Caenorhabditis elegans: one gene and its partner. The protein of the gene in region 2 interacts with the protein of the main gene of each other region in a pairwise test. Each region holds a gene or a part of one and is shown on either strand. Other genes may lie near its edges.

Evidence for each region.
Region 1: the proteins of sec-3 (region 2) and cogc-5 interact in a two-hybrid assay, tested with the Caenorhabditis elegans proteins (one large-scale study listed by BioGRID).

What each region holds. Positions count from the first base shown.
Region 1 is NC_003279.8:4,247,439-4,253,785, reverse strand, and holds cogc-5 (Conserved oligomeric Golgi complex subunit 5), read right to left. Parts: upstream 4,294-6,347; 5' UTR 4,288-4,293; coding exon 4,214-4,287; intron 3,745-4,213; coding exon 2,609-3,744; intron 2,295-2,608; coding exon 1,892-2,294; intron 1,138-1,891; coding exon 945-1,137; intron 879-944; coding exon 714-878; 3' UTR 616-713; downstream 1-615. Other genes in the region: C43E11.12 (Transcription factor TFIIIC triple barrel domain-containing protein), read right to left, coding at 1-166, 215-544; tufm-2 (protein-synthesizing GTPase), read right to left, coding at 4,526-5,085, 5,220-5,762, 5,809-6,025; exoc-7 (Exocyst complex component 7), read left to right, coding at 6,206-6,319.
Region 2 is NC_003284.9:3,094,842-3,101,568, forward strand, and holds sec-3 (Exocyst complex component 1), read right to left. Parts: upstream 5,012-6,727; 5' UTR 4,997-5,011; coding exon 4,867-4,996; intron 4,821-4,866; coding exon 4,693-4,820; intron 4,266-4,692; coding exon 4,167-4,265; intron 4,116-4,166; coding exon 3,738-4,115; intron 3,689-3,737; coding exon 3,516-3,688; intron 3,469-3,515; coding exon 3,297-3,468; intron 3,223-3,296; exon of another isoform or gene 3,087-3,222; intron 2,988-3,086; coding exon 2,741-2,987; intron 2,695-2,740; coding exon 2,340-2,694; intron 2,291-2,339; coding exon 2,164-2,290; intron 2,116-2,163; coding exon 1,854-2,115; intron 1,806-1,853; coding exon 1,681-1,805; intron 1,230-1,680; coding exon 1,131-1,229; intron 1,082-1,130; coding exon 830-1,081; 3' UTR 587-829; downstream 1-586. Other genes in the region: ztf-13 (C2H2-type domain-containing protein), read right to left, coding at 5,640-5,768, 6,240-6,357, 6,404-6,558, 6,610-6,727.

The sequences.
Region 1 (6,347 bases), on a different chromosome or scaffold from region 2:
CGGCTAGTGTAGATCCTTCGGTGCTTAACGAGGTCAACAGGGCTTTTTCTGCAGTCATCATGGTCGATGTACACGAAATCACTTCCATCTCTTTTCCTTTTGACTGCAGAACCATATTTGTTCCGAGATCTTGCTCCCAGGATGCCGTGTATAGTGAGTTGTTGATCTGAAATTCATAAAATTTTACTTTTGAGTTTGTATATTTCCATTTTACCTGTAAAACTGGTGCATCCGTTTCAGCGTACCGCAATTTGATCAAATCTCTCTCGACGGCATCTCTAACAAGATCCGCGTCGAGAATTCCATTGACAGTGACCACCATCGTTACATCTTCCCATTCATCATCATCACCTTCGTCTTCTTCTACTTCTTCCTCTATTTCTTCTGGTTGAACTTCCATCTCTTCCGGCTCATCTACCCTTTCGGGTATTTCTTGTTCAAATCGCATTGGCTTCAGGCATGCTTCTTCTGGTTCTCGTTTGATGGGCGACATTTTGAATTCTACAATATATTTCTGGAAAGAAAAAATTGGAAAAAAACACATAACAATTCAGAATAGAAATATGAAGAATGGCTGAGAACCGTGGAGACTGAACAAATGGAAATTGTAGGAATAAACGAATACACTTTTATTCCACCCAAATAAATAAATATTATCACAATCATAAATACATAAACCCATGCGTTGTTAAATTCTCCGAGTGTCCTTTAGGTTAGAAAGCATTTTGAAGAAGCTTCACAATACGAGGATAATGATCGACATAGTGTTGTTGACCACGTGAGATGACAGAACTATTGTACGAAGACACAAGTCCGTTGAGGAATGCGAGAACTTCCAGCTCAGTGTGCTCTTCGTACCACTTTACATATTCTTCGGGCTGAAAATTGAAACATATAAATATTTCATATTTAGAGTATTCATAGTATTGTGGAAAACTACGAACCGTCCATTTTACAGATTGATTAGGAAGTGGAAGTTCTGAAGGGCTATCGGATACTAGTAGCTGGATTAAAATCGACTTTTTGACACCTTCAACTCTGAGCATCACATCAACATCGCTTCCGAAAAGATCCAAAAGTCGAGTAGTGTCACCATATTTGGAAGGCCATTCCATTGAACGAACGGCTTCGAGTAATCTGAAAAAGTAATTTTTCTGACGAAATTATTGAATAATTTAATAAAAGGTTTGAAAACGTATTTCTTTTGTTTTGATATCCTCTGAATTCGGTTAAAACTTAAACATTTTTGATAAGTTTTCAGTTAGACAAGTTAAATAAATAAATTTAAATACAAAATGGCGGCAAAGATGTAAAGCGCTGAATCATAACCGATGTAAAAACAGAAAAAGTTAACACTTTTGTGATTCAGCGCGCCGTTTTGAGTTTAAATTTAAAATGTCTAACCGACAACTTGGAAAATAAATTTAAAATAATATAAAAATTGCTAACCACAGGGAAAATCAGGTTTTTTTGTTGTTCTTTTTTTTTGCTATTTCAAAATTTTTTCTTAAATTTTTTTTTCTAGGATATCTTAATAAAATTGTTCGATTTTTCGGTTTTATTTCCACAGAAAATAGGAAAATACGATAAAACTATAGATTTATCAAAAAAAAATGGTTTTGATGATAAAAATGACTAAAGAGGTTTTTTTCTTCTAAAAAAACATTTTCGATATTTTAAAAATCATATATTTTTTTGGAAATTTTTTAGAAGACGACAAATGAGAAAAACAATAAATTTTTTGAGGTTTGAAAAATTATTTAGAAAAATTTACATGTTTTGATCAAAATTGTTTTTTTTTCTATTTCGAGTGTAATTTTTTGCAAGAAAACGTTTTTTAAAAATTTTTTTTGAAAAATTTTTAACATTTTCAGTTTAAGCACCCTATTACCTTGAAAAGTCAATGACAATGAGTTGACGTTCATCAGAAGCATGTGATCTGACTAATGTGGCATTTAGAATAAATGAGTCAATGACATATTCGGCAATTTGTGAGAGTACGTGAGAATGACAAACTGCTCGTGAAACGTGAGCCATGTGCATGTCGATATGATTAATGTAGGTGAGCAATTCTTGCATGTACGGAGCCACGGATTTTGTCATTCCGCGTGTTTCAACGTGCATTCTTGCAACAATCGCGCGAATCGAGTTTTTGACTTCTATGACGATCGCATCAAGAGTTTCTTTTTGAATCGCTGTCACACTTTTCGATTCTGCTGGCCAACGTTTTGTGATACCATCAGCGGTTTGAATGAGACGATAGTTTGTCATTTGATTTGCAGTCAATCGGTCTCCTGAAAATGTTTTTTTATTTGGTCATTTAAATGTGGAGTATGGAAAATAAATATTTGTTTTGTACACTCAAAAAAGCTCGAATATCATAATAAAAACTCAATTTTTGAAGAATGAAAATTTAGAGAAGTCTCAAAAAAAAATGTTTTGAAAGTTTTATAAATTTGGAAAAATTTTCGAATAAAAAAACAGGACTTTTTCAGAAAGTTTTATCGAATCGCCGAAAATATCGTCATCGTTTTCTCGGGTTTTCGGAATTTTTTTTTGTTTTTGATAAAAAAAATCAACAAAAAAAAGTATTAATTTCACAGCTCACCTAGGAGTAAATCATCTCTTTGTAAATGAAGATTGGCTTCCAATTTCTTTGCAATAATCTCAATGCATTTCTCAATATTATTGCTCATTTTCTGGCTCAACTCCGCGTCCCAGTCGACTTTTCGATGTTCTTCTTCCATTGCAGAATTGATAAGATCGACAAATGCATTGGCATGAGCTGTAGAGAAGTCATTTTCTTCAACGAGTTTGTGCAAACGAGCCAGTGAATGAGTCAGGAGAGAGTTCTTGAGTGGACGTAAAGAATCGTTCAAAGCGGGTGAACTATCTCCCTTTGAATTGAATACTCTACCCAATTGCTGTACAAACCGCAAAGCGTATGGAGTATCGAGTGGAACTCTGCTACGAATCAGTCGAGCCAACTTTTCAGAGAATTTCTTCTTATAGACTTCACCCAGCATAGCCGCTTGTTCGAGATGTGATTGAATTGTTGCAGCGACTACAGGGAGACTTTTATTAGCAACTTCTGGAGAGCTGTTTGATAATTCCATTAATTTCTTATCCAGATCGACAACAGAGGAGGACAGCAAAACTTCAAGTTCTGAATCCAAATAATTCAAAGTTCGAAGAGCTCTTTGAGCAGATACAACCATCGAGCTATTCAATGACGCTAAACCTCGTTTCAACTCCTCCGCTCCACTGCGTCGAACTTCATTTTCAGCCACTTTCAACTTGGTATCCACCATATTCTTCAACCATCCAATTTTTCGCAAATTTTTATTATCATTGAGTATCTCCTTAATCTCCGATGTGATCTCCGCCTTCTTCACCAAATCACTTCGTTTCTCAAGAGATTCAAAAAGTTCTTCACATCTTTGGGCATCTGAAGCCATGTTTCTTTTGAGCATCGTTGCTTCGAGTTGGCGAGTTTGTTCGCGAAGCTTCGTGGTAAGATCATCACAAACCGTGGCGAGTCGATTTGATTCTTTGGTCACTGATGTCATTCGCATTTGAACTGAATGTAGAGTATCTTCAAGTGATTGAAGAGCTGGCACTTGCTCCAGTAGTCGTGGAAGATTAGTTTCGACTCCTTTACGAAGCTGTTTGTCGAGGGTATCATGGAGTCCAGCGACTTTTCGATTCAATGATTCAGCTACGGATGAGTCACATTCTGCTACCCTGAAAATTTGTACATATACTTAGAAAAAAACTTGAAGATAATTTTTTTGATCGACGACTTCCAAAAAAGTTTTTATTACTTGAAATTTCAAGTCAATTGAAATAACAACTTTTGCAAACATTTTTGATTTGATTTTTTATTAATATAATGTAACACTACAGTTATGTTTTTTAAAAATTTCTCTACTGGCGGTACTCCATCTTTCGACAAAGTGTGCGCCTTTAAAGAATACTGTAATTTAAAACTTTCGATGCTGCGAAGTTTTTATCGATTTTTCATAGTTTTTCTTACGATTTGTTAAAGTTTATGTTGTTCTATTTTAGTTTTTAAAAAATAAATAAATGAATATACTTTTTGCAAAAAACTATGAAGAATCGACGCTACAGTACTCTTTAAAGGCGCGTACCATTTTTCATTAAACAAAAATTGTCGTGTCGAGACCCAAATCCACAAAATTTGGCGACTTACTTTTTCAAGTAATCCTTAACATCAGTTTTTCCCCAGAGGAAGTCGTCGAGCTGTTCGTCGACTCTCCCCGACATTTTAAACTGGAATTAAAAAATAAATTATTATTTAATACGAAAATTAAAAATAAAGATATTAATGAGCAGATCAGGTAAAACTGCTATTAATAGGAGAATGGTATTATTTGAACAATAAAAGTAGTGAAATATTATTCGAAGATTTCGACAAAAGAAAACAAAAACAAAACAAGATATAGTAGTTAACAAGCTAATAAAATCTAACCTAAAATAAATCAATACTGTAATATATAAAGAACTACATCTTTTCAGCGGACTTTTTAAGATTATGTTTCTCTACAGCCACATGATCCTCTAGATCTGAGATGATTCCTCTAGCGATCGTTGTTTTACTGCTTCCTTCTCTCAATGTAAACGGCATTCCTTTTCTGAGTGGCATGTCTTTCATCAAGAGTACTGTAGCAGAAGTATGTTCTCCTGGCATCAGAAGCTCATTGCTCATATCGAAACGACCAACTTGATCCCAAGTACTGCAGTACATTTTGTCTGTGAAACCAGTCCGAATTCCGATCTTCCTGCCATTTTCAGCCTCCGAGAGAAGATAAAGTTCCACTTTCACTCGATTCGTAATTGTTACTGCTCCTGGATGTCCTGCCCACATTCCTCTCTTCACTGTATCCCCTTTAACTCCTCTACACAGAACTCCACAATGATCTCCAGCACGAACTTCCTTCACACTTTTGCCAAAAACTTGGATATCCGAAGCAGTCGTTTGAAGAGTTTGCCCGTCTCCTTTGATTTCAACTTTATCGCCTTTTTTCAAGACACCTCTTTCCAGTGTACCGACGATGACTGTTCCTGAAAAACATTTTAAATTGGTTTTTTTTTAAATATTAGGGGTGGCAAAAAATGTCATTTATTGAAATTTCTTGCACTTTTTCTTGCAAAATAAATTCTTGATTGGCACACCTTATATTTCTTTTTTCAATTACCTCGCCCAGTGATAGCAGTTTTCGATGCAATTGGCATTACAAAAGTATCCTTTTCATTTCTATCCGGCTCTGGAAGTGAATCCAATGCATCAATCAATCTCTCGATACACGAAATATCTTGTCCTTCTAGAGCACTTAAAGCGGAACCTCGAATAACTGGAGTCGCATCTCCATTAAAGCCATGCAGACTCAACAATTCCCGTGCTTCCATTTCTACCAAATCCAGATCATCTTCTTCAACCAAATCCGCTTTATTGATGAAAATCGCCATATTTTTAACACCAACTTGCTTGGCTAGAATCAAATGTTCTTTGGTTTGCTCCATGACTCCGTCGGTTGCAGCAATCACAAGAACAGCCACGTCCATTTGTGAAGTTCCGCAAATCATATTTTTGATGAAATCCGAGTGACCGGGGCAATCAGTGTGGGAATATCGACGCAGAGGACTTTCATAGCCGATATGAGCGACATTGATTGTAATTCCACGTTTCTTTTCTTCTTTTCCCTTATCGATTTCGTCAAATTTAATATGCTTCGCAAAACCTGCAGAATTGAATTCATTTGTGAATAATATAAAAATTAATTAAACCTTTTTTAGCCTGAACTCTTGTGATTGCTGATGTTAGAGTTGTTTTCCCGTGATCGATGTGTCCAATAGTTCCCACATTTACATTGATTTTTGGCGTAGCAGCTGCAGTGGCAAAGAAAGCGACGGCATTTCGTGTGATTGAATTACAAAATGAAGATGTTGAGCATCGATTGAATAGTAGAGATCGTGTGAATGCCGACAAAGCAGCGGGGTTCATTTTACCTATAACACCGAGAAATTCATGTTATAATAAAATCGGTTATAACAATTTTAGTAACTTTGAAACCATAGAAACCTGGAACCTGAATTTAATTTAAAAAATTCCAAAAATTGCGTGGCAACTCATTTTGTCCTCGAGGAGTACGCGGCCGCGTGGCCTAGGAAGTAACTAGGTCACATGTTGGTTGTTTATTATTTTTATTGTTTTCCATTTTTCTCTGTCAATTCTCGAATATTTCCAATGGCAAGTGATCAAAATGCTGCCGAATCGATAGCCAAAAAACTAGCTCAGGTTTGTTTTTGCTGAAAAAGAAGATTGA
Region 2 (6,727 bases):
TTACTTTACAGAGTCTGATAAGAATTGAAAACCAAGAATAAATAAACATCCCCCCTCCCCTAATTTTACTTTTTCTACGTTACCATGTTTAGTGGTTAGATCGGTTTATAATTCTCTTATAAACCTTCACAGTTACCTCTTAAAATGTTAAATTTTGTTCTGAAGTTTTCCAAAATAGATTGCGGCCTATCAATTTTACCTTTAAATCGAGTGATGAAAAAAAATGCGCTGTTAAAACAATTCTTACATGAAATAGTTTTAAATAAGATATAAGTACAGGGTGGTCCATAATTATGGACCACCCTGTATAAATGAGTCAAAAAATGTATATAAGAGTAAAATGTAAAACATAAAGTGAGATATAAACGGAATAACATTATAGAAGTTGTTTTTATTAGATTTAAATCGTGTTACACCCCTTTTTTATTAAAAGTTGCCAAAGTGTGTTCTTCAGAAAACACACCATTTGCATGTCAGATTCTTAAGTTGACCAGTTCAATGCAAACATTCAGTCAAAATTTCTACAAATGTGTAACCAAGAAGTCAGTTCCGTGAAATTTTTGTGAGCATTTGAAAATACGTGAAATAAAAGTCACCAAGCAAGACATTTATTTTTCAAAAAAGCAAGCATTACTACTATTTTCGAATGGGGAACACCCGTAAATTTATATTACAGACATCAGTAATGTAACGAAGTTCACCTATTACAGAATAGATAAATAAATATATTACAAAGCATGGTTCAGTAAGTATTAGAGTTCTGATAAATTAAAACTAAATTTTAAATGAATTAAAACAACAAAATTCAATAAAATTATTCGTCGTAATATTAGTGTTGTTGAGCAATTTCTGAGAAGAACTGAAGTACAGTGTCAGTGGAAACTTCGAGCTCAATCTTCGAGCCTGGGTAACAAGTGAGAATCAGTTTGTTGTATTCCGCAATTTGCTTGACAAATTGCTCTTGCATATCTCTCCATACAACTTGCAAAAGTGATGAATTGGCAACCAGGTTCTTCTCAATTTTCTTGTACAGTTGCTCGAGTCCTTTTTTCACTTCTTTTCCCGGATGTTGTGAAATTACCTGGAAAATTTATGAAATGGCGATTTTGATGATTAACTAGAAATTCAACCTTTTTAAGCTCAATGCGACTGAATTGTTGTTGATACGAGATTTCATCAGGACGAATTCCACGCGTTTCGATAAAGTTGTTGACATTGTCGAAGAACGTCTGAAATTTTTGGAATACATATCGATAGTTTTGGGAGATTTTTGTTTAAAGGTGGAGTACCGAAATTCGAATGAGATGTTTTGAAAATTCCTCAAAAAAAGTTATGGAGGTTCAAAGTCGGAAAAAAGGTTTTGCAGCTAAAATCACAATTTTTACAACTTCTCGGTGTCGCAGCGTCTGGAACTTAATTTTTATTTATTGATCACTCTTTAATAAATTTGTTGGTCTTTTATTGGGCGTATATGCGCTGAATTGTTGGGTCTAAAATAGCAAAGCCTCAAATTTTGGTACTCCAACTTTAAACTATGGTAGAGTGCCTTTTTTTACAAATGTTGTAGAATGACAAGCCAAAATTAGAAAGAAAAAACTAGTTTAAAGCATAATAGTCAAGTTTTTTTTCAAGCATTGGCAGCACAGTATTGAAACATAAATTTCCATATTTATATATCACCTGAATCTCTTTGAGTGGACGACCCATAAACTCTTTTACGTACGCATCAATATGTTCTTCCTTGAGCGCTTTCGCATCTTTTCGTTGTTGATCCAAACATGAGATTTTTAGCTCCGACAAAGTCACTGAAACATTTATCACCATCACACTTTATTGTTTCCTAGAACACTTACAATAGAGCTCGTGGTAATTTTCAAACTTGACTACAGACGACGGAGACTTGCTGTATTGATTGGCGGCAGCTTTTTGTATCCCGTCACAAACCGCCCGGCAAAGATTGAAATATGCCTTCTCCAAGTCAGTTCTTCTCTCGGCATTTTCAAAGATAATTTCAGCACGTCTCACAAAGTTTGCAAAGCGAAAAATTGATGGGAGAATTCCGATTCTAGTCTTTTTAGCAATGCGAACTTCCGAGTACTGGGAACATTCCATTTGCTGGAAGAGAAGATTATTGCAATTACAGTACATATAAATGGAACTCACAATAAATGCATCAAACTGGCGTTTTATCAGAACAACTAAACTTCCAAATGTGATCGAAAAATAGGAGCTTGGGTCTTGTGGTAGAAGCACTTTCTTCGACATGATTACAAACAAAAGGAGAACATTGCTAAAATGTGTAGGAATTTAAAATAATATGTACGTGTACCTTTTCTCACCTAGGATTGTGCCTACAAACCGCCCGACAGAAACTATCAAGATGAATATTGAGCGAGTCAAACAAGTTGCCCATAACGTGTCTCACTTGCTCGTTCATATGTTTCTCCATACTACGTCCTCCGAGACTTGAGCTATCACCGCTTCCAGTTGAAGTCGTATCGAACTGAGCCAACAGCTCCGAGTTGATGTGGAAGAAGCGGACAACGAACTTTTGCTCTGCGTCAATCACAGCGCTCAGTTCTGCCAGCACCGTTTCGATGAGTTGCGGTAAGACTTCAGTATCAATTTCACTGGAGGTGCTCAGGAAACTCTGGTTGTCAGAACGAAGTGAAATGTTTGCAGATTCATTTGCTTCTGAAATCAGATGATTATTTTTTGCTGCAAATATTAGCAAACATACTTGACTTCTTTTCAGAACTGTTAGCTTTTGGAACTTTGTTGATCAGTGTCTCAAAGAAATTGTCAAATAGACGTTTGTAAAGTAGATTCGTGCTGTCGATATACTTTTGCAAGACTAAATTGCAAGCCTTTGGACGGTTCGTTTTCAGCCAGTTGATAAGATCAGAGAGTGGAGAAAGGGCGCGAAAGCGTTGAGACTGTTTTGGAATACACAGTTCATGCCACTCATGATCCAAAGATAAGTCGTTCTGAAAAAAAAACACGCGTTGAAAATGATTTTATACAGTGCGCGCGCTTGCTACAGGATTCTTCTAAAATTTATAATAGATGTATTGAAAAAACTCCACATTTTAACGTGAATCTATTGTGAAATTATGGTATGTGATGTAAAAAAAGCTTCGCATGCGCTGTAAAATATCTGAAATTCGAGAATTTTGGTTGAAATTTTCAAAAAATTCAGAGGGTCCTTTAGCGAGAGCGTGACCTCCGGAATTCTCTAATACTTCTACAATTTAGGGGGTCCTCGAGCAAGCAAGCACACGTTCATTGAAACTTACCAAATTCGAGAACAGTGCAGAGAGGTGAGACATGAGCCTATCGACAAAGACATCCACTGCGGTAAGCTCATCATTTCTGTCCTGATAGGCTTTCATTTGAAGCATTGGCTTAGAAATCCTCCCGTGCCAGAATTGTGCAACAGCGCGTGCAGCGTCCGTGCATCTTTGAACACTGAAGTATCATAATATTACTTGAAAACTCTAAGTTGTTCACTCTACCTTTCTGGGTTACTGAAGTTAGCTTGTTTCAGAGTCTCAATGTGGGAATCAGTAACAGCCTGCAACGAATTGACAAATGAAACGATTTCCTCGTTGAGACGTTGCTTGTTCTTTCTTTCAACCACCGATAAACTATCTTTCTCTTCGATCAATTCGATACTGTTCCTCACAAACTGAAAATAGTTGATTAAAATTTCAATAAATTCCTTTACAATGTAGTACCGCCAAAATGTCATCACAACGATCAAGCTCTTTTTCGACCGACTCAACACCGGTCAATGCTGCATCAATACTCGAAAGCAACTGGTTTACGGAATTCTCACTGTCCATCATAGAGTTGATGTTGGCTCCATCGAGAGATTGCAATTGCTCCGTCAGCATTTCGGCAAAAATATGTGCTTCACCAATAGTCAAATTAGCTCGCGCAATCAACTTTCGAAAGTCTGCGTCCTCCTTGTTGGATATTGGCTGATAATCACTTTGCATCGCCATATCATGCTCAGGAAGCTCAATGGGTATAATGGAGGTTTCTGATTCAAGTTGCGGTAGAGAGAAATTGCAGAAATCTGGCATCTGGACTGGAAGGTATTGGCATGACAACTAAAATACGAAATTTTCAGTAAAAAAGTTGAAAGTATTATAGTTGGATACCTTGTAGAGTTCTCGAATGAACTCGTCCTTTTCCTCAGCGGAACCAGCCAAAATCACATATTGATGATCACCGATAGTGATGTGGAACTCTGGTGATGCCTGAATTTTTTTAATGTTTGTCAGTTGAATAAAATTCTCAATTTTTTTTAAACCCAAAAAAACTTGAAGTAAATGCGAATTTAACTAATTGATAAGCCATTTTGTCAAAATAATTCCTGCAATTTGCATCATCTTTTCGACAAATTTAGTGTACAATAACTATTCTTTCAACAACTTCTCACCTAACTTTAGCTAATTGCAATTTTTACAATTGATAAAGATCGTTGAAAAGTTGCGGCAAAATGGCGAATTTTTAGCTATTTTAGGTTGATAAACTCCATCAAACATTAGTGTTCGTAAAACTTGAAAATCCTCAGTTATTCGAGAAGCTTCACATTTTTTGCGTTATGTTCTTCGTTACGCTCACATTTGCTCACTACATATATCGTATAAATTGCGTGAATCCATATAATTTTCAAATACTCACTTTTTTCGGATTTATTCCGTCGATTTCTCTGACTTCTCTCAAATTGAACCTGTCCTTCTTTTTGAATGTATCATCTTTCTCCCCTTTCACAAAGTATAAACGGACGGCGATGGGGTGCTCGATTGTGACTGCAAGTTATCGATTTTTATACAGGACAATTCCAAGAATTCTTACCTGCTAAACATAGTAGTGTCTGGTTTTTCTTCTTTTTTCCATCCAACTTTGAGACATTGACTATTGCTTGAATTCTTTCATCGTCTTTCTGGAAAAGTTGCCGCTGGATTATCTTCCTGATTGCAGACATTCAAATCTGAAATTGAAAATTTATATAATCACATTGATTAAGTAGAATAATAAAAATTTTAAACTTAAACCAAGCATTAAAAAAGAAAACAATAAAATCAGGGAATTGGAAACAGTTATGCCCAGTAAAAACATACGGAGTTATTCTGCGTCTCTGCAGTTTTCTGTGGTGACTAGTACACGAAAAACACGCCAGTGGCCGGTTAGCGTGCGCGTTTCTCGATGAACACCACTATTTATATTGCAATGCAGGGAAGCAAAAATAATTTTATTTGGTTTTATTTTTACACTTGCAAAAGATATAGTAATAGAATTGAAACGAATTGATTGACCTGAAAAGATTTATTTTTGGCAATTATTTAAATAGAACACGATTCCTAAAACGGACCGTAAAAAAATGACAATTGAAAGTTTTCAATTAGGAGAATCTGCAAAAGTAAAAAAGAAAGAAACAATAAATAATATTACACGGATCAGAAAAAAAACAACAGAGAGTTTGAAAAGGTCGTGGTTTTGATTTGGAAGTGACTTGAGGCATAAGTTAAAAGTAGAAAAAAAGTAACAGAAAACTTAAGTGAGACAAAAGAAAATGATTAATGACATGTAGCTATATTAAATCGGGGGTAAGTTTCAAAATGAGATTATCACTGAACAGCGTTTCTGACTGGATACATGGTGTAGTTGGTAGTAATCAAAGTGCGACGCAGCGGAAGTGGGCCTGCAGGTGGAAGTGTGTAGTTGCGGTTACGAATTGAAGTCGGGATTTTGATGATCTGATTTATTTATTAGTTTTTACAGTAAATTGTATTATCGCCCCTTTAAATTTTTTTTTATAAAACAAATGTGGACATATGTATATTTCAATACATTTTGTTACATTTCGCGACATTACTTGATTAGCCCCATTAGTAATTATTGTATTCTAAAGAAAAAACACACAAAATATGCTGGACAATCCGAATTTGGAAGTATTTTAAATCTTGGTAACTACTGAAACTTGTCCTATTAGACCTGCTAGCTTATATCTCGGTTGTCTTAAATTGTACCAAAAATAGTACAATGTCAATATGTTGAAAATTATTTTACGTAATTACGCAGTTAAAATGTTTTGATAAAATTAAAGAAAATCGAGATATTAGCTGTCAGCGTGAAGCAATCGGTGAGCAAGTCTAATAGTGATAATACAATATGTAGTAGTACCTTCTGACATGACAAGTAACTTAATGCATTTATCAAAATCTTACCGCTCGACCCTTTGAGTACGGAGCAGATCGCACAGTGTACTGCGGCTGACTTGCCGCCATTTTAGAGACGACTTCTCCAAGACTTTTTCCAGGTGGAACCGGTCGAGACGATTTTTTGCTAAAACGAAAAATATTGTTAAAAACCTAAATTTGGTAGTTCTTACAATTTGACTTGGGGCGGCATTGTGCTGAAAGTCAGTGTCTTAAAAACGGTCGCCGAGGGGACGTAGCTTTCCGAAGGCGAACGTTTTATGAATTTCCCGTAAATAAATGTATTTTTCATGCTCGACACAAAATCATCGTGATCTGCAGACTCCAGCTGAAAAAATAGTTCTGCTTTAAAAACTGCAAATTTAGAACTCTATCTAACCGTTGCCAATAAGTCGCTTTTAGCCTGATTGTAAACCACTAAGCCAATGCTACCCGACATAACTGCCTGCAGTTCACACTTTGCGTACGTGTAATATGCGGTTGTCATCACTGTTTGT